Styela clava: one gene and its partners. The protein of the gene in region 1 purifies or fractionates together with the protein of each later gene. This does not show direct contact. Links are inferred from orthologs where the notes say so. Each region holds a gene or a part of one and is shown in the gene's direction. Other genes may lie near its edges. The genes, in order: centrosomal protein of 290 kDa-like, centrosomal protein of 76 kDa-like, neuralized-like protein 4 and IQ calmodulin-binding motif-containing protein 1-like.

The links.
Region 2: the proteins of centrosomal protein of 290 kDa-like (region 1) and centrosomal protein of 76 kDa-like purify together in Homo sapiens (co-immunoprecipitation; 5 studies listed by BioGRID and IntAct, with this or other methods). This does not show direct contact. The link is inferred for Styela clava from reciprocal best matches to the Homo sapiens genes CEP290 and CEP76.
Region 3: the proteins of centrosomal protein of 290 kDa-like (region 1) and neuralized-like protein 4 purify together in Homo sapiens (affinity purification with mass spectrometry; 3 studies listed by BioGRID and IntAct, with this or other methods). This does not show direct contact. The link is inferred for Styela clava from reciprocal best matches to the Homo sapiens genes CEP290 and NEURL4.
Region 4: the proteins of centrosomal protein of 290 kDa-like (region 1) and IQ calmodulin-binding motif-containing protein 1-like purify together in Homo sapiens (co-immunoprecipitation; 8 studies listed by BioGRID and IntAct, counting the BioPlex papers as one, with this or other methods). This does not show direct contact. The link is inferred for Styela clava from reciprocal best matches to the Homo sapiens genes CEP290 and IQCB1.

Annotation. Positions count from the first base shown.
Region 1 is NC_135257.1:13,834,706-13,843,442, reverse strand, and holds the start of centrosomal protein of 290 kDa-like, read left to right. Parts: upstream 1-4,949; 5' UTR 4,950-5,003; coding exon 5,004-5,180; intron 5,181-5,586; coding exon 5,587-5,691; intron 5,692-6,855; coding exon 6,856-7,062; intron 7,063-7,139; coding exon 7,140-7,295; intron 7,296-7,881; coding exon 7,882-8,064; intron 8,065-8,737. Other genes in the region: tripartite motif-containing protein 2-like, read left to right, coding at 209-426, 884-1,048, 1,512-1,711, 1,936-2,076, 2,380-2,532. UniProt on the Homo sapiens protein: Involved in early and late steps in cilia formation. Its association with CCP110 is required for inhibition of primary cilia formation by CCP110.
Region 2 is NC_135252.1:22,882,698-22,890,757, forward strand, and holds the start of centrosomal protein of 76 kDa-like, read left to right. Parts: upstream 1-4,683; 5' UTR 4,684-4,720; coding exon 4,721-4,907; intron 4,908-6,801; coding exon 6,802-8,060. UniProt on the Homo sapiens protein: Centrosomal protein involved in regulation of centriole duplication. Required to limit centriole duplication to once per cell cycle by preventing centriole reduplication.
Region 3 is NC_135252.1:6,169,514-6,178,309, reverse strand, and holds the start of neuralized-like protein 4, read left to right. Parts: upstream 1-5,121; 5' UTR 5,122-5,380; coding exon 5,381-6,395; intron 6,396-6,823; coding exon 6,824-6,962; intron 6,963-7,563; coding exon 7,564-7,760; intron 7,761-8,100; coding exon 8,101-8,796. UniProt on the Homo sapiens protein: Promotes CCP110 ubiquitination and proteasome-dependent degradation. By counteracting accumulation of CP110, maintains normal centriolar homeostasis and preventing formation of ectopic microtubular organizing centers.
Region 4 is NC_135260.1:8,785,374-8,793,283, forward strand, and holds the start of IQ calmodulin-binding motif-containing protein 1-like, read left to right. Parts: upstream 1-4,551; 5' UTR 4,552-7,910. Other genes in the region: F-box only protein 32-like, read right to left, coding at 221-312, 632-738. UniProt on the Homo sapiens protein: Involved in ciliogenesis. The function in an early step in cilia formation depends on its association with CEP290/NPHP6.

The DNA of each region.
Region 1 (8,737 bases):
ACATTAAATTGTCTATTTATCTATAATTCACAATTATCCTAGAATCATGGTTGCCTCACAATTTCGGTATATATAAGTAAGTTGAAGAATTTTTTTCCACATTCTATAAAATAGCTCGTATATATATATGGTAATTTATAAAGTCCTACTAATTGGTCAACCAAATATTTGCATTATCTAATCATTCTAAAACTCGTTGTTTTTGCAGTATGGGCCCACGTAAAAACCCAATAGAAGATGACCTCGTACAGAAAGTTGGTAGCCGAGGTCGAGGCAAAGGCGAATTTTCTAATCCACAAGGTGTCTCAACTGACCACCTGGGTCGTCTCGTGGTTTCCGACAGCACTAATCAATGCATTCAAGTGTTTTCCGTAAGCTCAAAGAAAACAAGAGAACCTAAATACCTCTTCAGATTTGGTGAACGTGGTATGTACATGTTTATTCAAGAATAACCTGAATGAAGTTACGAAAATTGCTAAGAATCTATTAGCTTGATATTATGTCGGGATATTCCCGAGTTTATTGCACATAAATATTAAGTGAGGCTGATTATAAGTTGTTGGATAGTGTTTGAATAAACGTTCCATACACAACACCGCCTCGACGACAAAACACCAACGACTCCAATATCTTGATACTTGTAAAAAACTCAAATTTTTCGTATGATATACAATTTTCATAAATTTAGAATGATGAACTTTGAACCTGAGTTGCCTTATTATTTAAGTGCCATTTTCACACGGTCTAACTCCAACAGATGGCCGAAGAAACCTTGGTTTCATAAAGTTTTTTATTTGAGATTGTTATGCGTATCTTTCTAAAGTTTGCAAGACAATATTCACACACCAGCATTAGTTTAGGATTTATTTTAATCTGCACAAAGTTGCAGGTCGAGGAAGTGGACAAGTTCAGCGACCTACTGGAGTTTTCGGTTTACCAAACGGTGATATAGCTGTTTCAGATTATGACAATAAGGTGGTAAAAATATTTTCTGAAGATGGAACAAGCAAATTGAATATTGGAACGGGAAAGCTCATGGGGCCTAAAGGTTTTTTGCTATTTTTCATCTAAATGTCAAGTTGAAATCACGTATACCAATATATATGAATTATTTAAGCGTTGATGTCTGTACCTTATCCGTTGTTTTCACACAAACTAAAATGAAATTATGTCGACTAAGATAGTTTATTTGATCAATCGATAGTCGGCCAAATTCTGTATTTCATTTATCCATGTCCAAAATAAAAAATGTGTGAAATGTATAGTTAGTTTATAGAAACGTGCTTCGAATGAAAAGGAATTTATACAAGTCATATTGAATTTAAAAAACTGATTGTAATTGAGATATATATATATATATATATATGTCACGCAATAGTCCATCCAAGCAGAGCGATAACTGACTCAGATGGAGAAATATCCCCTGACAAATGTAGCTACAACTACCAGAATTTATAAGAGTGTGTATACTGATATTCATTATACAATATGTAAATACCTAAGCATTACAGGTTTATGTATCGATCACAATGGACATCTTGTAGTTGTGGACAATAAATTATGTCAAATATTTGTGTTTCAACTTAATGGAAAACTCGTAACTAAGTTTGGGACTCGAGGCACAGAAATCCATCAATTGGCCGGACCTCATTTTGTAGCTGTTTACAACGACAACTTTTATGTATCCGATTTTTACAATCACTGCATAAAAGTAAGTATTTTGTAAGTAAGTTTTGTTAGCTATAACAATAAGCACAAAGATATCTTCCCACAAAAGAATTTTAAGTGAAGAATTTCTGGTCCTCTAGTCGGCAAACTAGATGTATTGTTCACAGCCTTGAAAAACATACAATAAATACAGAATAAATTATTTTTGTTTAAGAATCTGATAACCGAACTATTGCCATCGAATGTTAAATATGTAATATTTTCCAGATATTTTCTGCGAGTGGCAAATGCAGTAATGTAATCGGCTCAACCGGTGAAGGTTGCGGGCAATTCAACGCTCCCACAGGTCTGGCAATCGATTCTCGAGGTAACATGATAGTTGCTGACTGGGGCAACAGCCGACTTCAAGTGAGATATTCATTTGATTGATTTGTATATTAAATTATCCTCATCGCAAACGAAATGAGTAACGAAACCATTCCAATATTCGTCATTTGAAACGATCCAAGTTATCAGTGTTTGTAAATTAAACTGCTGAGTATATAATATTTGGTTGACACGGTTGGTGACTATAAAACCGGTTAAATTTAACTTCGAATTGGATTGAACAATCTGCAATGTGATTCAAATCTAAAACAATTTCATACAATCCACGATTAGTGCCAATGAATTTGTTCCTTTTTGTTATTTACACCAATTTACATGTTACAGGTTTTTGACAAACATGGATCATTTCTTTCATATATAAACACAGACGAAGATCCACTTTATGGACCACAAGGCGTTACTCTTATTAATGAAGACCAAGTGGCTGTGGCGGATTCAGGAAATCAATGCGTTAAAATATATCGATACCTGCAATAATGATTTATCAAATTTCATTTCTTTATTTTTGTTCCTCGTGTTTATTCTGAGTTTATTGTTGATTATGAAAACTATCAAAGACAATAGATTGATTTGCATAAAATTGTTGAAACGTGAACTTAAAATATATATATGCTACGGATTTAAGCAGTTAACTACAGCTGCTAACCCACCATGATAAAAATGAAGATAAGTACACTGATAAGAGAATAATTAATGTCGAATGGGTACAAGCGTAAATATGGTACAAGAGATGAGTTTATAGAGAAAATACCGAGTGGAGTGATTAGGATGTTGTTAGTTAATTGGAAAGGTGTCTGAAATTAGGATGCCTTTAGTTTTAGATAAAATTGTCCTATTTCAAGATTATGGTTTATCTTGCGGGCGTGCTTCTGCAATTAGTGTATCCGGGTGGTCATCCACAATCACGTGACTAAATAGGTACAATGATGTTCAGTCTTCTGTTACTGCGACATTAAACCCCTTGACCACAGTAAATTATTTTTAAGTTCATGTACAAGTAGACTTACGAGGATAAAGTAGGAACAAAGTAGGCAACCATTTACAATATTATAAAGCATAAGGTATAGCTTCAGCTTCCGATCCTCCCGCGCACACCCAACGCAAACAATCGTTATGGTGCGTACTGCACCATTTGCCTAACTTCTTGACAAAAGTTTTTTGTATTTGTCGTAGTTCAAATTAAAGTTACGACCACTTTCTGATCAATATATTTTTACGTATACTAAAAAAGGCCAAATTATTCAAAATTAGTAGCCATCCAAAATGTTAAAGGGCGTTTCAGTCGCTGCAAAGGCTCGCTCCCTGATGTTCAAACTTTAAGATTTGGGAGCCAAATACAGCGTGCAGTCATGCGTGTTAAATTTTTAAATGATGTTCACTTGTTCCCTATAACTTAAAAGTCGAGTTACATGGATGTTCTTTTTCAGTATTAAATACATATACTTGAGTAGATCGTTCATGGGAAATATTAGGATGTTAAACTATACAAAACACCTTGCATTTGCAAAACTGTGGTTATTTGGAAACTGTGTTCAACCATGCGTGAAATTCTTGACTTCCGTTTGTTTTGGTCGTCAATGGTAAATTAAATGCTTGCTGCAGCATCTCTAGTATGATAATTTCGTTGTGGTACGAAGGCAGTGTGACTTTGTGTACGACTTTACCAGGGATGCAGTTCAGGTTTTCGCGAATATTTATGCTTGGTGATCCCATGCTTATTCAAGTACGGTACCGTTTACTAACAGACTAACCATACTGTTTTTAGGTTTTACAGTAGATTGGTAGAGATAGGCTTAGCCCACAAATGATTAATTAGTAAAGGATAGGATTTACATATTTATCCCGGCGGTGACACAAAGGCACACAGCTGCAGAAACAAAAGCAGACTAATACAGTAATACGCCGCGTCATATTTTAGAATAAAGTTTAAAGGGCTTGAAAGATTGCAGTTGCTGTACCCATTTGGCGGTGTGGCTCAACGGGCTAAGCGTTAGGAATACGCTCGCCACCGCACCTCTAATTACTCTGCATGGGTTCGCAGGTTCGAATCCCATGCAGAGATGGTTATGTGCGAGAGGATTGCTGGACTCCTCGCCATCGTTGGGTGGTTCACGTAACCGCTGGTCGGTTACGGCTTCCTCCACCACCAAGTCCATGCTTCCGAAAACAAACAATACAGTAAAACTAATCCCATACCCGACTTGGAATGGTAACCGGACGAGAGGCCGTGGTTCGCCATATGGATAAGCCGTCTTATCGGCTTTCCTCTCCCCCGGGATAAATATGTAAAATCCTATCCTATCCTACTGAACCAATGTCTGAATGTGCATAAACAAAATGTAATTTGCTTAGGTAACTTTAGTAGTACCTTACCGGTAACGTAAGTTACCCTATTATCTCCGCTTTTTATTCCGATCCATCTAAAATCTATAATACTTTACGTAACATTTCTTTTATATTTTCTCGGAACATTGGCTACCGATCGAGAAAAAAAGCCAACAGCAGTGATCCCCAAAAAGAATTTGCTATAGCGATATCTCAAAAATATAGCAGAAATGTTGATGTGGCGATAATAGGAACTACGATTATCCTATTATTGCCACTTGTGTCAAACTTTTTATATACGCAAAGAAAGAGCTATCAATTGCAGAATTGCCTCTGCTACGTGCACTAGAAGTACTTATGGTACTATAATAGACCCAATGTACTTAGATTTTGTAGAAACTCAGTAAATCCTGAACTGTGTACTGGTATAAGTCAACACATAATTCCGTTAGTTGCAACAGGTTCTTCCAACCTCCTAAGAACACACATACTAGTAGCTTTTACTTCTATTTTACTCAATTACATACTTTTGAAGTTACATATCATTTGTTTTTCCCCATTATTTTCAGGGTTCGAAATGATCTTATAGAAATTGACTACAAAGACATTTTGCCATTTTTATTATGGCTCCCAATATTGATTGGGCCACTGTTGGCACAGTGGCTCAAGGTAGTTCTACAGTGGATGACGAGACAATTGACAGGGTGGTTGAAGATCTTCGTACAGTTAAAGATGCAGATTTTAAAAATGAACCAGACAAGTTGATCATGCTTTTCAAATCTGCTTTGAATATTCTTGATGTAAGTACTAAATTATAATGAAAGCCTCATGTAGTTTTGTGGGTATAAGGGTGACCTATAAAGTTTCAAATACAGTTTTTCAAGGTATAAAACCTATTTCATACATCAATTTAAAGTTAAAAAGTGTTTTTGTTTGAATGGAAAACTTCTATCATTGAAAAAAAAAATCTGTAAAATCAAACCCGAATTTTTTTTTCCTCATAATGATTAATGAGTTCCCAGTTCTATGCCAGTGATTTTTATCATATGTAAACTTGAACTGCCTATAATAAAAGTCTTTTTCTGGTATTTATGGAAAAGTTATTCACCAAAGTGTTATTTCCATCATATCATGATTTTTCTCTTCTGTAACTCACTGCGACAAATCCAGCTAACTTAAAACTTTAAAATGTCATACCATCTACAGCATCGAGAGCAAGAATATGAAGCTTTACTCGATGAACAAGTAAAATCTGTTAATGATAAAGATTCACAGATTGAAGAATTAAAAAGAAGGCTAGAGGATGAACGAGTAAGATTTTGTCGAATAATTGGGAATGAGACTTAAAAATTTATATGGTTTAGCAATTTGCTCATTATGAATGTAGCAATATTATTTTCTTTGTTAATATTTTAATGCTTAATCACATAAATTTGAATTGGCACTATTTTGAGATTGATACAACAAGAACAACAAATGCAAAATATAAAAAAGAGTCTTTTTACTGTAAGACATTTTCAATTGTCAATTGTGTCAATGTTTACAATAAATAATATAGTGTTCATTTCCAAAACATCTCACTTTCAAAATACCAATCTATTATTATTACTGTGATAACCTTTTTCTAAGTTGATACGCTATCTGCTCCATTTCCGATTTTCTATATATCTGTTATATATTCAGTCTAATTGTGCTCTATACTACTTCAATTCTGTAGTTAATATTGTTCACTTTCCACGAAGTCTCTTCTAGTTTTCAAAATACTTTGGTATCCGTCTCATGCTCTACTAACAAATAGCATTCTTTCATTTTTGAACCAGATTAAGTTGGTTTCTATTCAAAACTATAGAATGTATTTAAACTGATGATACATAACATTAAGTTTTTATTTATTTCACATTAATTATGAGATTACTCTTTTTTCTCATTTAATTCCAGTATAAAAGAATATTTATCTTAGAACTTTTATGTGAAGTATTAGTAAAGAATCAAATATTCATGAACCACTGACCAGATCTTTGCTAAATTTTTCTATCGAGAACATTTAGTTTAGAATGTCATTTTATGTTTTAAAATAAATTGCTCAGTTATTATTGAATGGTTGAATAGCTGATGATTTCAAAATAGCTTTATATCTCATCAGAGGGTAACATATATAATGCTATATGTAGGTTTTGGAACTAGGAGATCTTTATTTTGAAACAGTATCATGACTTGGTGTATGAGTAAAACTAGATTTTTTTGGAGCAATGCAGAGATAAGTAATATTATTGATTTTTCAACTGGAATTTGAAATGATCAATAAATGTATATTCATTTGAGAACTGGAACTTCAACCTGCGCTTGTGCTTCCTCCAAAAGTTTGATAACATTTTTTTCCATACTTATAATTTTATGACTAGTATAGACATATGGTAATTCTTAAATTCGAAAATTACATTTATGACAGACATTGACGTTTCTTGGTTTTTGCAGAGATTTGGATCGGGAGGTGCTGGTGGCCTCCGCGGCGACACGGAATACATTCGTGCGGAAAATAGGAATCTTGCTGAATTGGTAGAAGGATACAAAGAACAAGAAAGGGAACTTAGAATTGAACTTGAAGAAATGTCGAGAGATAGATATACTTTTGAGCGAGAGAACAACGAAATGAAACAACAAGTTAAAGATCTAAAACTGGAGGTACGTTTTTAAAATGAAAACGTTAATTTTACATCATAATGCCATATTTTTCGGCTAAAATATTTCATGCTTTTTAGAATCAAGAATTGAAAAGTGATCTTCGCGACTTCCGTGATATTATGGAGAAGCAACATCGTGAACGTTTGGGTGTCAAAGGTCATATTGATTCAGAAATGAAAGACAAACTCACTGAGAAAAACAATCAAATAACAGATTTACTCGATCAAATAACGGTTTGTATTTTTCTTTATTCAGGAATTGTGGTAGAAATATGCTATCTAATTAAATTCCAAGCCAACTAAAGTTATGTGAGATAAATTTTAAGGCTATGTGAATAAGTTCATTTCTGTCTATATTTTTATCTCATTTTTTCTAAATGTTATTTGAATCAATTTTTTAACACAGAAGTGGGTAAATTACGGCCCGTGGGCCTGATTTGGCCCACCGAAGTGTTTCATCTGGCCCAGTTGTGCCTGCTGAAATTTTACGATTATAAATTTTTGTTGAAAAAATCAATGAGAATAGCGAATCGTTGGCCAAAATAAATAGCGAACTTCTCCTGTATTAATTGTACTCTAATATAATGTACAGAACGAGCCATATATTACCTTAAACTCACTTATCCGAATTATTTATGTCATTGTAAAACTCGAGTCTCGGCCAGGAATAGCTCCTGAGACACGTTTTTAGAGAGACCTTCTAAGACTTTAAAAAAAAGTCATTGGATATCTGGAATTATTTTGTAAAATACATAGTTATTATTAGTCCTTGATTGAATTTTTAGTAAAATGTGGTTTTATGTTTGCATTACTCCTTCAGGAATTAGAAAAAGTAAACAAAGACTTGGAATCCAAAAATCATGGAGTCAGAGATGAAATGGAAAGAGCTCAACAGGACATGGAAAAGATGGCCGACGAATATGAGAAAATGAAACGTGTCATAGATGGAACAGATCAGTACTCAGAAAATATTCAGAAGGAGAATGCTGCATACAAACTCCAGGTGTCTTGATTAACTAATATTATCGATTAAGATAATCTCTCGATATAGCAAGTGTATTTATTAGCTTTCTTTCGATCATAGTCTAACAAGATTTATCTATATGTTAACTACCGTTATAAATCGCCCCAAAATTCTGGAAAATATTACACAAAAATTATTTAATGAAGCTTCGAAATGGAGATTGGAGTTAAATTTTGTCTGGATGGAATATTCCATAGAGGAAAATTTTCATGAGTAAACTTTTTAAGTGATGATTTTTCTACTCTATAAGTTATGTGCTAAAAGCTTGTCAATACTATACACCAGTAGCCAGTAACACTCTTTATGCCTTAAGTATATCCATTATTCTTCATATTAACTCTGCCTTTATTAATCCACCCACATGTATAAGTTTTTCAAATGGTGTTCCATATGACAAAGTCTTGTCATTAAATCAGTTGATATTGATAATACTTTAAATATAAATTTTTTTTTATTTTTCTGAAAGCTTCAGAACTGTTAGTAGGGATGGCAAAACCGAATATTCTGGAATATCTAATACATTCTAAATATAGGGCAAGCAGTTGCCCAGTTCCATTTTATAGGAAAAATTATTTATTTCATATACTCAATATATCTTCATGTTGATCATATCTCAAACAACATAATTATATAGGTCATAGAGTTTTCTGTA
Region 2 (8,060 bases), on another chromosome or scaffold:
CCAGAGAGGAAATCAAGACGATCTTAAATAAATATGAATATGCGTTGGATAGGGTTTCCTTATGAAACTGAAAAAATAACATGAGATATTTATAGCGCGATGTGTATTTATAGATTAAAAAGGAAGCAGTATTTTTGTGATGAACATTTGCTGCTTTTGCTCGAATCTTATTTTTTCTTTCTCAGTTGTAATGTGATGCATTTTTTGCTAAACCACTAAAGAAAAATTGTGACATCATAATATATGTCTCTCCGAACATCGACCCATTTTTTTACTTCCCTAGCGTTTCAGCTAGATGTCAATGGTGAAGTAAAAACTGAAGTTCGGCCAGTCAATTTTTTCACAGATATAAGGACTTTGGGGGGTGAACATTAGCTTGTTTATCTGACCATTAGGTGATTTAAGTAATACAAGTTGCATTTAAATATGATTTGAACTTTGCTAAATAAAATATATAAATTTGCGCAATGTTTCATACTAATTTTTCATTCTTAATTACAGTAGACATTATTAATTCGGTATTCCGTAAGTTACGTCAGACATTTCGAATGCGTTTGGGTTTCACGCATGCGTAACAATTCACGTGATTATTATCATGGGTTGTTTGTTACTTGAAGTATAAATTGCAGTAATTTTCCACTCAGCTAAGTCCTACGTTAATTAAGAGCGTCTGAATGCGTGACTCGCGCAGACTAATCACGTGATGATAATCATGCGTAACTTCACATGATTATTAACGTACGCTGGGCATTCCAACAAGAATAAAATCACTGGGTTTGTGTTAATTAGGAAGAACCCGACATCAGATTGTGTTTGCTACACAACGCCGAAAATGCCTGAATCCACGTGATTATTCCAGCACAATGACGCTAAAATGTCTGTAATTTTCCAAGCCTTGTCACGCAATAATAAGAACGTTGTTCAAGAATTATTGGCTTTCTAATTTTTCTAGGTCAGTGTTGTGAAATATTACGCTCTTCCATAATACACCTGATTTTGTTGTCATTTTGTGGATATAACCGAATTTGGACATTAAATTAGCAATTATCGGGTTCGGTTCAGTAATGAATCGAAAATTTAGATTTCCAGCGCAATTTGCATTCCCAGCTCTCGCCATAATCCTAGCGGGATAATTATTATTACTTATCGATCTTAATATCGGTAAGTATGCTGATAGGTATTTGTCTGTTTGTTTGTCTGTCTGTTAGATGCAAGCGATATCTCACGAAAGCGAAGTTAAATCTGCTCCAAATTTTGCATTGTATTCATCATAGCTCGGATCAGGAGCCTATTGATTTTGGATGAATTATGTCGTATAATTAGCGAGTTTATAATTAATTAGTGATGGGACACACGGTGTCACTATGGAGTAAGAGCGCTTTTTTGGGGGATCCCCTAACCTCCGATCGATAAGTCTTCGGTCTCCGACCGATATTCTCGTTTTATTATTTTAAGCGTTGGCGAGGGTGTTATTTAGGGGGATTCGTACAAAAGATCCATTTTACCCAACAGTGATACTGGTTTAAACCCGTGTGTATTTTACTAGAGTTTTATTTGTATAGCCTATTTGTACAGCATGTCTGTTGTCCCAATATAACGCAGCAGTCCTAAACTGCTGTTATAATTGTTAGTAGGGGTGCATGTCGCACATCTGTGTCTTAGGCCAGTAAGGTCTTGAACATGTTTCTCGTCTCTGTTTTACTGTTTATTTATTATGCAGATATTGTTACATTTTTCAGGCAAATAAACATACTTACATACATATCAAAGTAAATCTGTCTAGCATCCATTAGAAACTGCACTAAAACATTTTGCAGTATTTCCTACTCGTGCGTAAGACCACGTGATGCTTAATTTTTGGACGTAACTTCCCACGCATACTTAAGTGCACGTGACGTTTTGGCGTAGGAACAGGAAATTCTATACGTCCAATAGTGCATGTGACGTTTTGCTTGAGAACATGAAATTCGATACGGCAGTGCGCGTGATGTCTTACGTACACATTCCACAATTTCAGTCAAGCGGACAGTCATGAGTTTCTGGGCATTTTTACTTATTGACAAATGCTCTCTGCTAGGGCTTAACAAAAACGAGTCAAATTACGTCAGCATTAAGTGGAAATGCATCAAAACGTCTTGGCTCAAAAATTTACAACACACAAGAAAAAAGTTCAAACATGGACACAAATGTACTGAATGGAAAATCTCACCTTTCAGACATAGACAGATAGGATAATTTTTTCGAACTCCTATATGACACAAAACAATTCAATTATAACTTGAACACACAGATAAACATGAATAACACAATCTCTTTCCCCGAAATAGCAAGTATATTAGTTGGCTTCCTTTGGATCATAGTCTAACTTCTTTAGACAAAATAAGATATAACTGCAAATATCAAAGATCATAATCAATCAATTTTATTTGGTCACTCTGATACAAACAACAAACAAAACAACAACAAAGGGCAAACAAAATACAGAAAACCTGGAGGACGGGCAGAACTTAATAATAAAGATAAATACGTACAAGTACGTGCCCGTCCCCCCAAAACAGTCAAAACACAATAAAGCTAAAACACGATGTGACATCGGCAATATCTTATAAATTAAAATATGGGACGTGTATGTGCTTTTCCTACAGATATATGGATTAAAGAACACTCGCTGCCGAAAAATGGTGATGCTGTAGGCCTGATAATTGTCCATATATATTGGTTATTATATTAATTTCGAAAAGGGTAGAATTGTTTTTTTCTACTATGCTCTCCAAATATATTGATGTGCGAGGGTAAACACTCAGTACAGTAAACCGTTCCCAAATCGCAAGAAAGTCCTCCCTGCCACCGTGCTTAGTATGGGTGAGACAGAGTAAGCTGATTTTTCTTATAGCTGCAATTGTAATTTATAACTAACGCATACGGCACAACAATTTTAATAAATCATGATGGCAAGAAAACATGTTTTTTCCCGGGGAATAAACATACAAGAGAGTTCGATAGAAAGAGGTTTTAGTACCGGAAATACGTTGTAACCGCCCGCTTGGCTTTCACTGCTATGTTTTTTTATTATTTTAAACGAATTCGTCTCAACGTACAACGCAGTAGAAAGGGAAAATCTCGAAAAAGATTTCAAACACAAATAATCACACACAAAAAAATCAATATTAATGAAAATATAAAACGACCTACCCTTCAAGATTTCAATTTAAAAAACAAAACTCATTGCTCTCTAACGACATCTCGCGGTCATAATTTTTTGAATTGGATCAATAGAGTCACGCTTCAGTACCTGTAACGCGGTCAATGATCCTTAGCAAATCATTGACCCGTATCGTCAACTGAAAATTCCCGTATTTCAAAAACAAAACAAACCTAGTTCGCCGAGTTTTAACTCGGTTTGCAGCTGAACGGTTGGATTCTACTGTTCATGTTTTAACAGTTACAGAGTTATCGAAGCTTCTTTCTATATAGTCAATAGTGTGATTACATCAGTGGTTATTGCTGTTATCTACCCATAGGCTACGGTATCGTACCGGCACCGTATTACTGCTGTACCGGTACTGGCTTTCGTCTGAACGTACCGGTACGGTTCAAACTATTGCAGTCATTTATCGAAGAAAATTGAGATGTGTAATCTCATTATTATATCAGTGGGTATTTTTGTCACCGGTATATATCCAGACCAACAGACGAGGTTTAATCATTTACCACCGTATTACGGTGCAATAATCTTGTTTTTAAATTGTGTTAAAAGTATTCTGAATCCGGTAATTATACACTTCTTCAACTTTATTTCAAGTTATGCTCGCCTTCTTCAGTTCTAGGTAGACTATCTCTGCATTTTGTTTGCCTGTTTATGTCAGAGAACTGAAATAATATGATTTATTCATTGATAAGTGAACAAGTACGGTACAGACGTACCGTATCAGTATCTCTTTATTTTGGCAAAACATTTCACAATATATCTATATATTCCGTTCTGCCGTCCTGTACATGTTATATTTGTTCCCCTGATTTTATAAACAATTTTTATTCATTGTTATCAATTACTGTATTTTATAATAATAATAAGTTATTTAGATTCCATCCAGTAATCAGCATAACAGACATGAAATACCATACCGTAGTGCAGGGGTCGGCAACCTTTTGTTGCTCGCGGGCCAAAATTAAGGGTTGCAAGTCATTGGCGGGCCGCACATATTTTTAGAAAGTGGAAAATCGAACGATACATCTCTCGAATAGAATATAGCTTTATTTCCTCATTGCATTGCATCTCAAAAAATTCCATTTGAATATTATCGGTGCCATTGAACCCTTTACACTTAGCATCAACTTTTCTGCGTTTTGTTGCCATTTGTCTAAATTATAATTAAATTATAGGCTCATTAAACGAGTAATTGTGAATTATATACTTGTTAGGTAACAATATAATTTAGTCTACACTTGTCTCACAATAAATTCTGGTATGTAAGACTATAATCGTCGAAACAGCTGTTTTGTTACTATAATTCAGTGATGTGCCACAGGCCGGATTATATTAGTAGGTGTGCCAGATTCGGCCCGCGGGCCGTAGGTTGCCGACCCCTGCCGTAGTTGATAAAAACAAATAAATAAAAACTGATCATATCGTATGTTATGCTGGTAAGTAGTCGAAATAAACGTATACTTATATCGAAACAGTGTTTAATCATTTAACTGCGTCATTATATCAGTGAATATGGCGTCAGCTCTTCCACCAGAAAAGCTTGCGGAGTTGAAGCAGATTATCCATAACCAACTTGTACAAGCGAACATACAGACTCAGATTAAAGATGTTTTGGCCGGAAGTTTTAATCAACAACGAGCTGGACATGATCGGACGGAAATATCTGAAGGGGACATAATGGAAGACTTGAAAAGAAAAGGTGATATATTTAAATTTACCATATTTGCTCGTTTTGTAGCCTGGGCCGATATTTTTTTAATCAAACTCAATAACCGAGCTCTTATTCAAACCGGCCCTCATTCAAGCGCGGGCTCTTTGTCATTTTTTAAAGTAAAATTATACACAAAACTTACGGTATCTTTGAAGACAAATATTGGATGACATTAATCCATTGTGACAAAAGCGCTTCTTATTTCCTATTGTTCTCTACCACTGAAAAATCAGCTTTTACATCGGGCGGGTATTCAAGCACCAACCCTTATTTATGTTCTGTTCACACGGGCGGTATTCAAACGAGCATATACGGTAGTTGAAATATGGTTGCCTGGAAAAGTTTGATCAAGATCAAATCAATCAATCAATCAAGATCGGGCGGTAAAACGAGCATATACGGTAGTTGAAATATGGTTGCCTGGAAAAGTTTGACAAAAATACATTTGTTCGTATGTGTACTGCAACACTGGTAAGTGGTAAGTAAGCTACTTGAGGTCTGGGATTAGGATTTTCATATTTATTCTGTGGGTTCATTCTCACGGTGTGAAAAACGCTTTGGTTCTCAACCTTTTATGGCTAGTAGCCCTCTTCCAGAAGCTTTTAGCACTCATGGCCCCCTGTTTATTACTCCACTTTAAGGGCCACATCCACTGACATAGCGATTCATGGGTTACCGCTTACCAGTCTGTGTTGAGTATGGGAGCACTTAACCAGTTATTTGTTCCAGATATGTGGACTTGATTCTTCATCTAGATCCCAAATATAACTGCATCGACAAAAGTATCTGAATATAGTGATGATACTTTCTATATTATTCTACACCATATATGTATGTAACATATTTCCACCGTTGGTGGAAAAACAAATTGCTGATTACAACTAAATATTCCAATTGTATCAGTGCGCAAATATTTCTGATCGTATGATCAGTGTTATGGCCGCTTTGATATTCAATCAATAATCATGATTCACTTTGCAGTTTGCAGTATTGCTAGCATACTCCTCCAGTCATCTCATTGATGCTCGCAGATAGAAATTTTAATTTTCAATTACATATTCAATTTTTTATGATATGATAACAATGAAAGGGAATACATATTCAATTTTTTATGATATGATAACAATGAAAGGGAATGATGAATCTCACAAACAAATTACATTGTACCCGTTATCCATCCTATACATTTTATTTGGTGAACTATTCTAATTGAGATGAACGAGTCTTCAGATATTGTTTGCAACGCAATGCTGAAAATGCTTTACTGCACATGATTATTACAGCGCAATGACGCTTGAATTTTTGTAATTTTCCAAGCCGTGTTACACAGTAAGAAGAGCGTTGCTCAGCAATTATTAGGACTGGGCATTATCGAATATCTGATAATTTCAGAATTGAATCGAATCTTGAATACTTGGAAGATATGTAGTTGTATTGACTGTTTTATTGTAATGTGTCTTCCAGACACATAAATTGGTGAAAACACATAATCTATCACGCAGCTAGTTCGCTGAGTGTCCACACACAATACGGTGCGGCTAATCGTGCTAAGCGTTAGGAATTCGCTCGTCACCGCGCCTCTAATTACTCTGCGTGGGTTTGAATCCCATGCGGGACGTGGTTATGTGCGAGAGGATTGCAGGATTTCTCGTCGCTGTAGGGTGGTTTACGTAACCGCTGGTCGGTTACGGCTTCCGCCACCATCCACCACTAATCCCATACCCGACATGGAATGGCAAACGGACGAAAGGCCCTGGTCCGCCATATGTTTATGCCATGAATATGTAAATCCTATCCTAAGTAACAACATGTTTCATCAATGCCTAGTTAGTTCACCATTGTTGGGAGTTGAAGTTTTAAATTTCTTTTTTCACTTTCTCAGGTGTTGTGGAAGAAATTCTGCAGAGACTTCGTTACGAATCGCCGATCATTGCTGCTCGAACAAAACCATCCATCCATAAAAATCTTGATGAAGAATTAATTCAAGCGGAACTGAAAAACAAAGTCGCTGTTGATCCGACACGGCGTTACATTTTTATCCAAATACTCGGAGGAAAGGCTTTTATTGATCATCTAAATGCCCCGAAATATCCTGGCGTTTCTGGCGACTCGACAAGACCATGTGCAACTTTCACGCTTCATTTGCTATTCCGGGGTCAAAGGTTCAGGTCACGACCTGTGCAAGTTGCCTGCGAACCTGATTTGTCTGAAGGGTTTCTGCTCGAACTTCACACACATTTTGCTGGTGAGGGGGGTAGAATGGCCGACACAGAAACTATGTTATCAATCTGTGATCCGATTCATCTTATCTTAACCCGAACAGACCCTGACGGTACTATTTCTCTAGTTGGAACAGACTCCCTCGAGTGGCGGAAAGTTTTATCTACTCCACAGGGATCCCACAAGGTGTCGATAGAGTTAATGGGTGTTGGAGCGGAGTCTAAAATCCCAGCTGGTATTTTGGAAGCTAAATTAGAAGTTGTGCCACGAGAAAACCGTGTGAGTTTGACAAAAGAAGTCGTAGACGTACAATGTCAACTTGAAAGGCGGCGTTCTGCGGAAAAAGAACGACTTTTTCTAGTTTATGCAAAACAATGGTGGAGAGAATATCTTCAAATTCGAGAGGAACATCAAACACGTACTGTAAAAATTTTCGCACAGGATGAAACTGGTTTAAACCGCCCTGTTTGTAGTTTTGTGAAACCTCTTCGAGCTGGTAGATTGCTTCATACACCTCGACAAGCAGCGAGATTTGTTAGTACTTTAGGATACGAGCGAGCTCCAACTGTGGGTTCCGGAGGTAATGTGGAACAATGGCGATCTTCGCACGCATTTTTCGCTCTCGGAAAAGGCGACCACGAAGACCATTCTAATCTTCTATGCAGTTTATTGCTTGGATTCGGACTTGACGCTTACGTCTGCGTCGGGTCGAAAAACAGGGGTGGAGCATACACCTGGGTTGTGACTCGTTATTCAGAAGGTGCGACTGTAATTTTCTGGGACGCAGTTACAGGTCATCGATACATCCACCGCATGGTGGCGCCAGATGATCCACCAGCAGTAAAGCAACCTGTAACCAATCACCCATACAAGAGTATTGGTTGTATTTACAATCACGAAGCTTTTTACGCAAACTCACAA
Region 3 (8,796 bases), on another chromosome or scaffold:
ATTCTTTTTCTTAAATAGAACACTAAGCAGCATGAGCACTACATTGCCCTCAAGTGTCCTATATAGTATATATTATACATTATCATCGTGAGCACTGTTTAACGACTGGCAGCTCTTCCCAAAGTTTTGTTTGTGGTCAATCACATATTAGCTTCTAGGACTAGGATCTATATACAACCAACGACTGAAAGACTTTCATCAAATGATTGCCCTGAAGTAGGCTATGTACAGGAGCAGGCACTCAAGACTATCGTGGTGTTTTTTTAATATGTGAGCGCAGATAATTGAAATCGCCATACTTTCGTGCCGTATCGTGTACAGAGTACAGAGTAAACTTTTCAAGCTTTTGAATAGTTGCTTGCAAAGAGCCTATTTCGGATAAACATAACATTCTTTTGAGGAGGTGCTTGTCCATATCATAGTTCGGAGCCAAAAATTCAATGTTGTCAGCTACCTACTGTGCAGAGACATTCGATCTAATAAAATATCTCAGTATACAGAAGGGACACTGCCGGCTTGTCCATATTAGCGATGCCGCTCGAGGGAATTTGTCCCCATAGCATAAACTTGCATTTACTCTCGTTTTTACCTTCTTCCGATTTGTTTTTTGTTTGGCAACATTTAGATTGCTTTGTATTGTACTGTATTTTTTTCTAATATAAATTGAAGTTATGTTTTGTTAAAAACTTTTGAAGCTACAGGACGTGGTATTTGGTTATATGGTCTTAATCACCAGTTGAATGGTTTGGTTGTACGGCAGCTATACACAAGATGTGTACTGTCAGTCAAGGGCGGTGTTATGTAAAACTAAACGTATTCTATTAATGTTATCCAAATGTCTCTGTGTCGTGTCTGACATTATAACTAATGTGGGCCTTTACGAATACATAATGATTGTGTGTGACGTTTTCGTTGTATCGGATCCTCCTGACACATAAATTACTGAAAACCTAAGACACATCACTCAGTCACATTGCTGGGTTGCCACACACAATAAAAAACATATTTCACAAGTAACTCACTCGAAAAAGAGTCATATACTAAGACTGCATTTTGAAAATACAATAGCCTCCATATGTGATGCGGTGAGGCTTGATCTAAGCGAGCTCAGTGGCAGTATTTTCAGCTGCAGAAAATAATTGCTCACTTGGAGTTGATGTTTCCGTCACACACATATACTTGCCAAACAACTTACTCATATAACCCGCTTTTTGCTCGTTCCCCCAAGTAAGGAGGCTTGAACAGTCAGAAAGTACTTTGGAACTAAAGAAATATGTTCACCTCATTGGCAACTGTTGGGACCTCGATATCTGCACTACCATGCATTAGACTCTGATGAATCGAAGGTAACACCATATTCTGTTGAAACAATTTCTGAAAGTACCACTTAGTCAACAAAATTGTGCTAAAATACCAACACTGAAAATGAATTTAAAATTTGAAGCGAACAGCGACAGCGAAAGGCCACCATCAGCATAGACCGTTCGCGTCGCATACGTGGCAGGCCGTCTTTTCCATATCAATCAACGAATCTATAGTAATACTTTCCTCTACCCACCACTTTTCTTGAGTGGTGATAATAATTCTTCAGATGATCCCCGTTCCGGGTGAATTTCATAGTCCTTGGGCGAATTTTCATAAATTGTCGTTTGTCGGCGTGTAGACAAGTTGTGCTGCTCCAAAAATCCAGGACACCATCGGCACGACACCGTCCCACAGAATCGGGGGCGAACCTCGTTTTGAGACATAAAGTTTTTTTTATTGTTTAGATATAATGTCGATGACATAAATAAAGATACCCAGGTGGGTGTGGAGTATATAATGTTGAGCAATTTTTCCTAAGTGGATTTCGGGGCGCTCCGGAAATATTCGTACCAAGATGACGCGTATCCTGAACCTTAACCTGGTAAACATACAATGTTCAGGTTGTGTGCCATCTTGGTACCAATACTTCGAGAGCACCTTTTTGTTAAAAACAATTATTTCATAACTACATGGGTTAGTTCTGAAGACATAGTAACATTGAATCTCCTCACAGTGTCAGAAATTCAATTTTAGTACAATAAATGGTAGTTCATTTCACTAATAGAAGCCAAGATCTATCGACAGCATCTAGCCACTTTTTTTGCACTCTTCAAACTACATTTGTGTTGCCGCGGGCGTTTCGTTTTCCTGCTTAAAGTTTCGGGACTTGTGAAATCGTTTATTAGTTGAAATGGATTGCAATATTTGACCTCGTCTTTCGCTCCGAACTAGGCCATGTAAAACCATCCACTGGTATCTAATGATGTGTAACGTGTTTTCTTTTGGAAGAACCGGAACCTTTCAGGTTCAGCATTGACTTCGGCCAAATTAATATATTCTTGTGGAAATAGAGGATATGCGTATGCGAAACCGAGATGTGCACCTTTTATGCCAACATAGTTGAGTCAAACATTTTGATCACTAGCACATCACATATATTTTCCTGAGTGCTTCGGTTGCATGGGGTAACGCGCACATTTTTGCGCACATGCATCAAATTCCACTTGTCTATTGATCTATAGGTTTTTGACGAGCTTTTGTGTATGATTTCATCCCATAGAATTTGTATGCTGTTCTAAAGAATACTAGTTTCAGGTTATTCATTTAAACCGCGTATCGGAAGTAAATTTGTAATATTGTGTGTTGGTTTTCAACTGGTTTATTGATATCCATCATTTTGACATCTTTAAATCGGTGAAGTCTTTCAAGAAGACTTGCTCGAGCCAAAGTAAATGAGCATCATCAGGTGATCGGTAAGGCTGCAAGTTGATTTCAGCCCTGCAACCTCCTACATAGAAGATAATATTAATTAGTGGGCTATGAGCTAAATTCCTAAATTTAGACGCAAACCTATCTACGAGGCAATATGTACCATCAATGTTACCTAAGATAAACTGAATATGTAATATGTCTAATAAATTCACCTACTAAAGCAAGTTCGATGGGTGCAAACTTTGTGTTATGGAATTGTATCACAGCACCGTTAAGAGAAGTATAAACAGTTTTGCTGTTTTGTATCACACCCTCTTTAAATGAAATTTCAATGTTTAAGTGCAAACATTAAAATTAGTCTTAAGTGATTCAAGAGTCTTGCTGCGCACTAACACAAATATATTTCTGTAACGTTTCGTCTGACCAAGGTCAGACTTCTTCAGACATACATAGTTATATATTTACGGTTCAACTATAACAAGAAAAGCGGTTACATTCCTTTTTTAAACAATAAATATTATTGAGCATGCATATGACCGAATTCTCTATTAAACTGACCTATTAAAATGTCGGTCGTGCATAAATCAGGACAAAACACCGATTTGGCAACTTTAATTTAAATTACTTTAGTTAAATCGTAAATATATACTACGTTAAATTTATTAAACGGAAGTCTCACTTGCAACAATGATTTTTGTTATTTATCGCTGATTTTATATTTGCGCAGCATTTCTTGACTGCTTACAATTTTTCTATTTTAAACCATGCTGCCGTTCCATATGGAGGAATTTGAATCGTCAAATCGAACGAAAATGTTTTTCGTTAATTTCCAATTTTAATAAACTTAATTAAATTACATTTCCAGCATTTGACGCCATGAATTTGAGATCCACAGAAAACTGTTGATGTGTATATTTTAGCCGATATTGCTCCAATCGAACAAAATATCGCTGTTATTTTCAATTCTAAGCCTACTCGTCGGCGCCCGAATGTCTGGCGTCAAATCTGTAACGGCGACGCAACATGACGTTTCCTTGGAAGTGAGCGACGTCAGGGTGACGTCAGTTCAACGTGTGCGTTAGATGCCATTATTTTGATATAAAAAAAATATTTGGATTTTATTTGTGTCTCGAGTATCAGCGACATCTCGCGATCAGTCTAATTTTTTATATACATTGATAACGTCCTCTGTCGAATGACGGTATTTTGACGAAGTTAGCATCGGTAGAAGTCACGATTTGAACCGCTCGAAAACTGAGTGTCAATTTTATGCTAAAACGAGATTCTTAATCAAAAAGTGGATTAAACTGCGCGATTGAATATGATAACAGATTGAGATATATAAGGACTCACTAAAGAAACTGCTAGAAGCACAATATGACGCTATTTAGTCGAGATATAAACGATTGAAAATTTCATTCGAAGTTACAAGGCACCCGAAGTTACTCGATTTTACCGTAACGAATTTTGCATATGTTATTCATAACCCCCACCTGACTATGTCATCCAAAAATTACGTCACTACGACTTCACCACGTCATAGGGCTTGCCAAAGTATAATTACGATCGCCCGAAATGGGAGGCGCAGTTCTTACCACTTTATGGCAGCTCCTGCCACGAACGAACCGCGGCAGCTCTTGCCATGGTTTTATAGCGCTATTCTGTATTCAGTAATCAGTATTAACGGTATATTCACAAACTAATGTACCAAATTCTAATTGATCATGGGGAATTATATCTACTTAAACCCTAACCCTAACCCCAAATCCATCAAGACTGTATCCATAAGAAAAACGTTCCAACTTACCCAATATTTGTCACCCTAAGGGACAGCCCTGTCCTTACGGCCCACCTGCCGCGGTTAAGGCAGCAAAATTTTACCTGCCATTGGTTTTCAATTTGCTGCCGCGGTAACGGCAGCTCGACATTGGTTTGTGGCAGCTAAAAATTCAGTCGCCATAGGTTTGGCCGTAGCGGCCATGGTATGGAAATACCGCCATGGTTTTGCGGCAGCTGCAGACGCCATAGAATACTTAAAACTGCACTTGCGAAATGGCATCTACGCCGCCGAAAACGAACTCGCTAAAGCTGGCGATCTCTCTCCTACCGTTATCGTCGTGACGAGAAAAATAGCTTGTTCGATTTCGGGTGATCGTCTGCGCGTTTTGGACGACCATCCGGATACTTTGGTGGGCCTTATTACGCCACCGTGACGTCGAAATGACGTAATTTTTCGGTGACGTAGTCAGGTGGGGGTTAGGATTGACATATGCAAAAGTTGTTGAGCCAGGCCAACTAGAAGTGCATGTGGAACTAAACTATACCGGTACCAGACCCCTAAACTATACTAGACCGCTTAGTCAATATTCAGATATTGCAATTTTCAACATCTTTCCTGTTCAAATTTTAGCTACTTACTGACATACAATCCATGCCAATGGATTGTCTGTGCCTATAATGCAACTGTTGGATATTTAAAATTAAATACCAATTACCTCAGTACTTGATAAATACATACAACATATGAAACATGAAGCATATGAGCCAACAAGAAATAAATTCAACTTTATAATTAACCCAGTGCAATATACCACTGCACAGAAGAATTGAAAACAACAAAGAGTAATTGTTTTTCAAATTTAAAATGACAAATGCACAAAAGTTTCACAGACGAACAGGTCGACTGGTTGAACTATCGAAACACTACACAAGTGCTGGAAGGAAGCATGCCAAAGAGGAATTCAATGATGGAATGATATTTTCTGAAAATCCATTGAAAGCAAATGAACTGTTTACCATATGCATAGACAAAAAAATCGCTTCATGGAGTGGTTCTATTGAAATTGGGCTGGTTGCAACAGATCCATCAAAATTAGTTATTCCAAAGGGGGCGATTGCAATTCGACATGGCAGTTGGTTTATATCCGGAACTTCGGTGAATATAGATGGTGTGGCAACAATTGATGATTATTGTCAGGACTTGGATTCTTTAGACATTGGAGATACTGTAGGTATCATGAGAAATGATAATAACCAAGTTCATTTGTATATAAATGGAGCTGATCAAGGTGTTGCTGCTGTGTGCATATATGAATCCGTTTGGGCTATGGTTAATTTGTATGGAAAATGTGCTGGTGTAACAATAGTCTCCGATTCAACAGTCTCTTTACCACAAGTTTCAAATCTGCAAGATTCATTAACATTTTCAGAAGTTTTATTTGACAGAAGAAATAGAAGTAAAATGTTGCAACATCAGTCTTGCTTTTTGGATGGAGAATCATTAGTATTTTATGCAAAATGTGGTTCTTTAATACAACTACTGGAAGGTGGTATGACTGCGGTCCGCTCCCATCATCAAGATGAGTTTAATAACGGTGTCGTTATGACAAATCGAACATTGAAAAATGATGAATTATTTGAAATAAAACTCAACGCCTTGACAGACAAATGGTCTGGCTCTATTGAAATGGGTGTTACTACACATGCTCCTGATTTGCTGGAGATCCCGAGCACGATGACAAATCTTCGGTCTGGTACAGTAATGTTGAGTGGCTGTGGGATCATTACAAATGGTAAAGGTAGCAGAAAACACTATCTAGATTTTCATTTGGACGAATTAAAAGTTGGAGATCATATCGGTCTAATGAGGAAAGAGGAAGGTAAGAAGTGACTAGCAATATTATTCAATTGGGTTTGATAAACATTATATGTAGTTACAGAGAGGAAGGAATTTATTGATCGTCAAATCAAAAAACAATATTAGTTACCACTCAACATGACAGAATTTTCAATATATTCAACTATTACTGTATTAATAACCAGAATCCAAACAAGAAAGTGCAATTCTTGATTATATATGAAACTTCAATCGTTGAGAAAAATAAATTTTAATTACCTCTTATACATTTTGCCAATTTGAACAAATTATGTTGAACATATTGCAGTTTTACGTGTAAGGTGTAACTATGACTGGTTGAGTAATCATGAGTTTTGGTATATTATTTCATAAAGCAGGATTTGTGGTTAGCTGGACTAGGTGCATCAACTATATATACTGCTACTAAATATATTTATTTCTATATTTTAGGTACTTTACACTTTTTCATCAATGGAGTAGACCAAGGTGTTGCAGCAAACAATATACCTCCTCATATATATGGTGTTGTGGATTTATATGGCAGAGCAGTCAGTGTTTCAATTGTTCCACATCACTCTGTTTTTGAAAGGTTTGTTCTTTATCCAGATAAAATGCTATCACCCATTTATTGATCACCTTTTTATAGATATCACAACAAGTTGATTAAATAATTTGTAATGATTTCATGAACTAATATAAACTTTTCAAATTCATTTTAAAATCAGTTACAGATGCCAAGTTACCATGTAATTTCAATTTCATTCTGTTATATATTGGTATATAGTAATAATAACTTTTTTTGATATGATGGATTATTTTGTCCAGGACATGGGTATGCAACTGTTTATCGCAATGACCTAAAACATAAAATAATGATGATGCTGATGGCCAAACTATTTAGCTATAGTAACCAGCAGAATGTTTTGTACAGCAATTTTACACTGCTATATTGCTTGCATAAATCAGGCATACCACATCCTGATTGTGTTGAACAAAGAAGTATTTTAGACACCACTCAGTGTAGAACTTATGCTTTTTATAATCATGTGACACAAAGTCAAAAATGCAGGTCTTGTTACGAATAGGAAAAAGCATCCAAAAATATGGGCCATATAAATAGGCGTGGCGTAGGCCATTCAGCTTTTGTTTACTTATTCCATAACGAAAACTTTTCCTCGTTATATTATTAGGAGTCGAAGAAACAATGCGGTTGTTGACAGAATTTTGCTTGATTCTAATCTTCTTGAAGAACGTGAACCACTTCTGTTTGATGTTTCATGTGGAAAGCACATCGAACTGTCATCGTGCAAGAAATCAGCCATGCGGCAAAATCCTCTGGAAGATTTTAATCATGCAGTAGTGCTGAGTGCAAGAACTCTGAATACTGGTGCGTACATTAGAAAACAAAGTTTGATTTTCATTTTCATCATCTTTGGTGTTGCCCCTTTGTTAATTTATGGTGGATCAAACCATTCCTCAAATATCAAATTCCCATGTAGGCTGACTTCAGCATTCTTGCATTTTATAAAATGATATATACTGGTTTAGCCTCATTCATGTGATATGATCATATTTGACAGTTATTTGAACAATCAAAAAAAAAATTAGCTATTAATCAGGTAAAACCCAAAATTATTTCCAATTTATCATTCCTATATATATTTACATTTTTACAAACATTTTTACTATATAATTAATTGCAATAATGCTAATATTTTATCGTGCAGGAGAAACCTTTACTGTTAAAGTGGAAGATGTTGTAGAAAAATGGTCAGGTTCATTGGAGATTGGTATTACGACATACCCACCAGAAGCCTTGAATTTCCCAGCAACCATGACAAATGTACGATCTGGAACATGGATCATGACAGCTACAGGTGTAATGGTGAATGGTGTAACTGTTGTTGATGACTATGGTACAAACGTAGACAATATGTCTATTGGAGACACTCTTGGAGTTTGTAGAAAATCCAATGGAAATCTACATTTTTATATGAATGGAATAGACCAAGGATTAGCAGCTAAAGATGTCCCTGAAAACATCTATGCAGTTGTTGATCTGTATGGACAAGTTTCGAAAGTAACCATTGTGGATTCGCTTGTCGATTGGGAATATTCAATGCCAGTTCCAATTAATGATCCAACTGGGTATTCTTTATCTCAACAAGCTGGTTTAAAATTAAATTCTGCTCGAACTCATGTTTGTATAATGGAAGATGGTTCTCTTTCTGCTCATAGAAAAAACCCAAATCACTTTTTTGACGGTAGTGTTATAGTTATGGACAAAAAACTGACTGTTGGTGAAGTATGCGAATTTGAAATTAATGAAATAGTTCCATATTGGTCAGGATCATTTGAGTTGGGTGTAACAAGCAATATTGATTTGCATTCGTTCCCATCTAGTCTAGTTGATATGGAAAAAA
Region 4 (7,910 bases), on another chromosome or scaffold:
TGTAAATCTCATTTACACTTGCAAATATTTTATGTGTTTTATTTGAAAAGACCACTTTTACATGAGGAATTAAAAAGAAAAGGCTATATACAAATTTATATACCCAGTAATCCATTCAGATTATACATTTTCTTTTTCTGAATATAAAGCTTTCATATATCCCAAAACTGTATGCAGAATGTGAATGAGTTAAAATACTCAAATTTTTAAATAAATATACCAGGAGCAGCTGAAAGATATGAATACAAGCGCTTGTAAGCTTTTTGTTGTTTGCTTCTTAAAAACATTTCGATTGTCTTCTTGACTTGATTTCTGAAAAAATGTATATTTATACATCTTGGAGCATATATATATGAATGAGCTAAGTACTTTCAAATCGTAAAATATGGATAACTTAACGAACTAATAACGAAAGACTTTATTTCGCAAATCCGCTATGAGATCATAAAAATCATGAGGAATTAGAGGTCAAATATATGCAGATATATAATAGCAAATAGCCAGAACAAATCATCTTGAGATATTTTGAAATGTATCAGTATCAATTGTTACAACAATCATTTGTCTTGTTTCATAAATAAAAAGGCATACAGATAACTTTCGATGCTATAGTAGAGAAAATTTAACTTACATGTGAATAGAATCAACTATAACTTCTGATTGTGTAACATCTTCTTGCCATCCCCCTGGTCCCTTGATCCACCTCAACCCAGCACCACCCCAAAGTGACACTGCCATATACGTATTTCTTGAAATTGTTCAAATAATAATAAAATGATTAACTAATATCTGAATATTAAAATAAGGTACTTATTAGCACATATAAAACATTGATTGGCAATAGATAGAAGAGTGGTATTTGGGTGTATAAAGGTGTTTTAGTCAAAAAGGCTATTTTCATGTAAATGCTGAAATGACAAGAAAACTAAATTTAAAAGAAAATGTTGATAACAAAAGTGCAAAGAATACTCCTGTTATAATATTGTTCCATATATTATAGCTAGATAATCTAGTTTTTCAGTTTTTCAATTTTGTATAAGCAATACCAAATCAGAATAATCTCTGTCATAAGCATCATAAAAAAAATGTCAGACTTGTTTTTCAATCATTAATATACTGATATATACAAATGGTTAACTTTGGTCTAATAGCGATAAAATGTTTAACTTACTGACTTAGCTTAAAAATCTTTAGATTCAATATGCCAGTATTCTTCACTTTCCAGATTTCTGACTTTGTTTAATGGACAATTTTTCTATGTTGGTCAAGTTTATTGATGAAGAGATTTATGCAATTTTATAATTTGAACAGCATTTTATTAAAGCATGTTGAGAAGCCATCGTAAGGTTGTAAAGCCATCAATTTCACATATTTTCTACTGCTTTGTCAAGCAGACAAGGATTTTTTTCATACAACATTACATGCAATGTCTGAATTTTGAGAAGCTGAACTTTAATATAAGAATATGCTGAAATGTTGGCAGGGTAAACACGTTCGATCGATGGTGGTAAACAGGTCGAGGACCAAATATTTTTGGAGGCTTCACGGAATACGGTACACAAGATATACAGAGATAAGACGCTACTGTCTGACTGCAGAACTGTAACCCAAACCAGTAAATCCGGTACCGTAAATCCTGGTTACTCAGTCCAGCAGGCACTTTCCTGATAGAACATCCCCGGAATATATCGATTTCCATAAAAACAGGTGGCGTAGATCAATAAATTACGCTGCCACATATTGTTTCCAACCTATATCCCGTATATTCAACGGTGAATTGCAACACCAGTCGTACACAAAGACTTCTGAGCAAAACGTAACACATGCAGCATGTCTTTGTTTACCAAGTCATATGTTTGTGCATGTGACTATACTGATAACCAATCATCAACACGGTAGGCGGGGCGTTACACTCTGTGAGCACGAATCGGAACCAACACACCTTCGCAACACCCCACACATACGCCGTTTAAAATCTCTTTGTCTAATGACTTTTGCTTTGTTTGTCACCTTGTGATGCATTAGAAATGTTTTAGTTCACATTACCTTTTCGTCATATTCTCACGAGGTTTATGGTATTTTATACCCTAAAATAAGTGTTAAAATTTCTTGCCGATAAGGTTAATGTTGTTTTGAGCCAACTTATTTTACCTGTTTATAGTATCAATACTGTACACAAATTTTAATGAATAAGTGAATGATTTACCAAATGGATTTTTGTGTGATTCAACTTCGCGACAACCATTCTAGTGAAATTTGTTACAATAAATGCGATGATATATTTTCACATATCAATTAAATTAATCAAACTGTATTGTGCTTTATGAACCGAAAAATTCTTGTTTAGTAGAGCCAATGTCATTGCTCAGACAGATCTTCAAGCGTGGTCGTAAACATTACCTCGTTTTCGCGTTTTTGAACTCTATTCGTTAGTTTTCACTTGTGTTTCGGAAACTTGAATATAAATCAGATAATTCAATGATCACTCTGTCTTCCTCGGAGTTTTAATTTAATTGCAGTAATAAAAAATTAGGGTAGAAATAGCTGTGATGGACTGGGCTAAAATTTATTACCGGTACTTTTAAAAAAACAGATTGTCGTATGCGATGAATCATAATGATGGTTCGAAACACATACCCCATTTTACAGGCGCCAACTCGCAAAATCACTCTTAAAATACCCCTGAAAATTTTGCAATGGTAAAGTATAGAAAGAATTTCATGGGAGTCAAAGTGACTCCGGTGTGAGGATAAAAAGACTCTGGTCAGCGAGGGCAATAAAATTTCAAAATAGCCATTAGAGATATGGCTAGGGATACGGCAGGTAGTACGGGAGCGGTAGCTTTGGCGGGCTGACGGACAACTCACCAGAGACAAGTCAAAGATAAATAAAGCACAACCGGTGTATAGCAAAACGATATAATTTGCCGACGTTTCGAATTTCTATTCAGAAAAACTTCATCAGGGCATGATATGAAGAGTAAGTACACTATCATATATATATAGAGTAAAAAAATAAAAAAGATAGTAAAAATTAAACGGCGTGAAAAACTGAAAAAGGGACAATATCATAATAGATCCGGGTGAATAAGCGCAAGTTCAAACAATTACGCGACTATCTAAACAATGATTTATATACATGCGGGAACAATGTAGTATCTTTATCGTTCATTGAATTTTTCTCTTTGTTGATATGATAAGATTCGAGAAATAGTCTTTTTCTGTAGTGAATTTCATGTTCCAATATCCTGCTGTTATCCCAATCAATGCTGTGTGCAGAGACAACTCGACTACCTAGAGGCCTGGTGAGTTGTCCGTCTTTTGGCATTTTCTACGGTGGTGTTTTTTGTCTATAGAAATGCGTTTTTGGTAATTTTAGTGCTCAAATGTTGAGAAAATACATAAATATGCTCTAGAAAGCATTTTTATTTGTATAAGTGGCTTATTTTGATCATGTTGTATGATACAAACACAGTCTACAGACGAAATTGGAGTACGGTAACGTTAGCGAAGTTAGACTGTTGACTTATAGGACTGTGTTCGTTTAATTTTTCGAACTTTATTGGTATTAAATGAGCACCTTTAAATATATTAAAACCTTTATACTTCACAGTAACACTCAAATAGTTATAAATGTGAGCTCAGTAGTCTATGGTTGCAGTAGTCTAAACTCGCCTACGGCAGACGCCCGAGAGGCCGTCAACTCACCAGTCGAGCAAACGCTCTGCGACGTGACGTCATCGATGCTCGAGGTGAAGACAACTCGACTACCGAGCAACGAGAGGCAGACAACTCACCAAGTCGAGCAATCGCTCTGCGATATCGATGCTCGAGGAGAAGACATTGCGCCATGACAAAAAGAAAACAAAATCTTCTATCCATTAAATTTCCCCATAACGTTTAGTATTCAAATATCACATTAAATTCATTAATCGTAACAAAAAGTAAACATCTTTTATACATTCTTCGGCCCAGTTTCTTTGCCAGGCACAGCGACAGTGCCTATCTGTTCCTGGTTTTCTTCTGCAAAAAGAAATTCCAACTCTATGACTGAAACCTTGCCGTGGTGAGTTGGCTTACAACTAATATCAGTCGGCACTAAGTAAATGCTATGCAACTCTTGAGTCTGCGTTTTGCAAAGCAATGTCTTCTCCTCGAGCATCGATATCGCAGAGCGATTGCTCGACTGGTGAGTTGTCTGCCTCTCGTTGCTCGGTAGTCGAGTTATCTTCACCTCGAGCATCGATGACGTCCGCTCGCAGAGCGTTTGCTCGACTGGTGCGTTGACGGCCTGTCGGGCGACTGCCGTAGGCGAGTTTACACTACTGCAACCATATACTACTGAGCTCACATTCATAAATATTTAAGTGTTACTGTGAAGTATAAATGTTTTAATATATTTAAAGGTGCTCATTCAAAACATTTAATACCAATAAAGTTCGAAAAATTAAACGAACTCAGTCCTGTAAGTCAACAGTCTAACTTCGCTAACGTTACTCCAATTTCGTCTGTAGACAGGACAGGATAGGATTTACGTATTTATCCCGAGGGAGAGGAAAGCCGATAAGACGGCTTATCCATATGGCGAACCACGGCCTCTCGTCTGGTTACCATTTCAAGTCGGGTATGGGATTAGTTTTACTGTATTGTTTGTTTTCGGAAGCATGGACTTGGTGGTGGAGGAAGCCGTAACCGACCAGCGGTTACGTGAACCACCCAACGACGGCGAGGAGTCCAGCAATCCTCTCGCACATAACCATCCCTGTATGGGATTCGAACCTGCGAACCCACGCAGAGTAGTTAGAGGTGCGGTGGCGAGCGTATTCCTAACGCTTAGCCCGTTGAGCCACACCGCCGCGCCTATTCATACAACATGATCAAAATAAGCCACTTATACAAATAAAAATGCTTTCTAGAGCATATTTATGTATTTTTCTCAACATTTGAGCACTAAAAATATCAAAAACGCATTTCTATAGACATAAAACACCACCGTAGAAAATGCCAAAAGACGGACGACTCACCAGGCCTCTAGGTAGTCGAATTGTCTCTGGTGAGTTGTCCGTGTAGTCGAGTTTTCCGCCTCCCGCTTTGGCGTACGGTACTGGCGTAAGAGAGCTCAAAAATGTCGAAGAATGATAAATTTGAGGAATATAGTCCAACTGTGGGCAAACCGCGGCTCACGAGCCGCATGAGGCCCGTCCGAGTTTTCTGCGGCTCTTCTCGCTAACATTTAATATTATCCAAATGTAACTTAAGAGAAACTGTAGTGTAACATTTTTTTAAATTTATTTAGCGGTAGAAGCAATTTTCATCAATGATTAGGACAAATTATGTTTTAGTATGAAAATCGTTGTGTCGTGGAATTTTAAATCAGTCAAGCAACAAATCTTACGTCACAATGGTCAAATTGTATGTTGCTGCGTTGGCTGCATCCTGCATTGTAGCTTGATTGTGGTTAGTCTCAGTTAAAGTGCGATATGTTCACAAGTAAGGAGCGAAAATACGAAGATGAAAACAGAGTTGTCAAGTCAGAATGGAAGAAGAATACGCATTTATTCGTCAAGAAAATAAATCTTTGTGATTGAACTCTCATATGGCTGCTAATTCATAATAAAGTCAGCAATGTTGATCGGCACCGTGGAACGAAAAGAAAAATGGTAAAACAACAAAAAGAATCAAGTCAAAAATTATGGATACAAAATAATGCTAATGAATTTGATTATGGAGAAAAATGTACAAAATGGTTTTTCAAAAAATTAAAGGAAAAACATGAAAAGTGCACAATAGAAAAAATGAAAGATAAGAACGGCAATTCCTTCAATAACTTGAAGGAAAAGTTGGAAATAGGGAAGGAATACACAAATTTATATAAAAAAAACGTGAAACAAACAAAAAAGAGCAATTACTATTTCTAAACGCCTTGGAAAAAAGCCTAATGATGAGGGTGCAATTGAGATGAACTCTAAAATAACTATGGAATAATCTAAAACAACTATGAACTAAGGATATATGACATTATTACATAAAATCACAGATTCAGTAGTTTTGGTACGAGATATAGTTTCTGAAGCGGAAAGAGGCAATAGTAAATCATTTTTGGTATCGTTGGATTTTGAAAAAGCATTCGATTCTGTCGATCTGCAGTATAAGTATGAAGTATTAAAAAAAATTGGTTTCAAAAATAAAATAATTAGTGTAGTAAAGGCAATGCAAAAAAATGAAAAACTGTATTATCATCAATGGTGGAATAAGTGAAAGCTTTACTATTAAAAGAGGGGTCAGACAAGGTGAACCAGTAAGTTTATATTTATTTATAATAGCAATTGAGCCATTAATAATATCAATACAAAGAAACCAGAAAATAGAAGGAATAATGATACCTGGGAATATTGAAATAAAAGAAATAAGAGATTTACCGACAATATAACATTAACACTGAATAAGAAAACATCATTGGAAATGGCTATGGAAACAATAGAAAAATTTGAACAAGCAACAGCCAACAGCAATGAAATTGAACAAAACAAAAATCATGAAATTGGGATTACAAGAAACACTGAGCGCTTTGAACATGAATGAAGTTGAACAAATGGCAGAATGGAGAAAAGAATGGACAAAAGATATGGGAGGATATGATTTACTGGACATACCGTACCTGTATTTATGAAATATTCATGATTATAAAAATAAAAAAAATTTTGCCCACCCCTGGCAATATACGATGGTAATTATATTGGATGGTGACAATTAATACTGTACCGGTACCGTACCTAGGGCTAGGTATAATATTTTTTTTACATAAGTTACTTGTTTCAACACATATTAGGTACTAAAAAAAGTGAATCAAGCAAACATACCGGTATCGTACATTACAGTATTGAATGTACCGATTTCAGATGACTAACGGTTACGATTTTTTTTAACCGTTAACTGACATCTCAGGTACAAATCATCTTCATACCGTACAATTTCTTCAAGTATGATTACGTCATCGCAAATTTATCTCTTGTGGCATTTAATTCAAAAGAATATTACTAACTGTGTGGGTAAGGACTCAATAAATGTGAAAAATAATGGCAGTACCAAGATTGCTGATTATGGAAATTTGACAATGATGAATTCAGAATCGGTTTTCGGTCAATTTCCAAATATATTGTTCACGATTTCATTGCGAAATTGGATATTCAATGTCGTACAACAAGTGTGCAGTTGATGCCGTTTTTCTTTATATGATATATATCTCGAAGTAAAATTTGCATGTCGAACACTGAAAATTTGTCACATAAATGACATTCAACAATGGAATCGGGTTTTCTAAAATACTTCCACGTGCCCGAACCACGCTGCCTATCTCTTGCAGCAGATTATGAAACTATCTCGATGCGTGAATAATTAGGCTTCCCGCTAGGGTTGGATTATCCGGATAGCGGTTAACCGGATATCCGGTTAACCAAGAGTTATTTTGCTATCTGATATCCGGATATTATTGTGACGGTTAACCGGATAATAGAGCGGTATAAATAATGCATATGCGCATTAGCGATTTTTATATGTTTTGTTGAGTGGCGACTGACATCTCCCAGAGCATATAATAACAACTTTTTCCACTCTAATCTGCCTATATTTTAGCTTTCCGTAGAATGGTGGAGTGAACTTCACTATTACATCACAAAACACGCAGAACAAATATGATTATTGCGCTAATTAGAAGAGCTCATTCGCTTTATAAAATTAGAATTGAAGTGGAGGTACAGTTTAAGCAAGACTAACTTAAACTAATTCAGTTGAATAGTATTGGTTGGGTGGGTGTGAGTTTGTTGCTTTTTTGTCGGGTGTGGCTTTTAGTTGTTGCGTGTATTGAAAGAACGCATTTCATCATGAAGTAAACCAGTATGAATTTCGAGGACT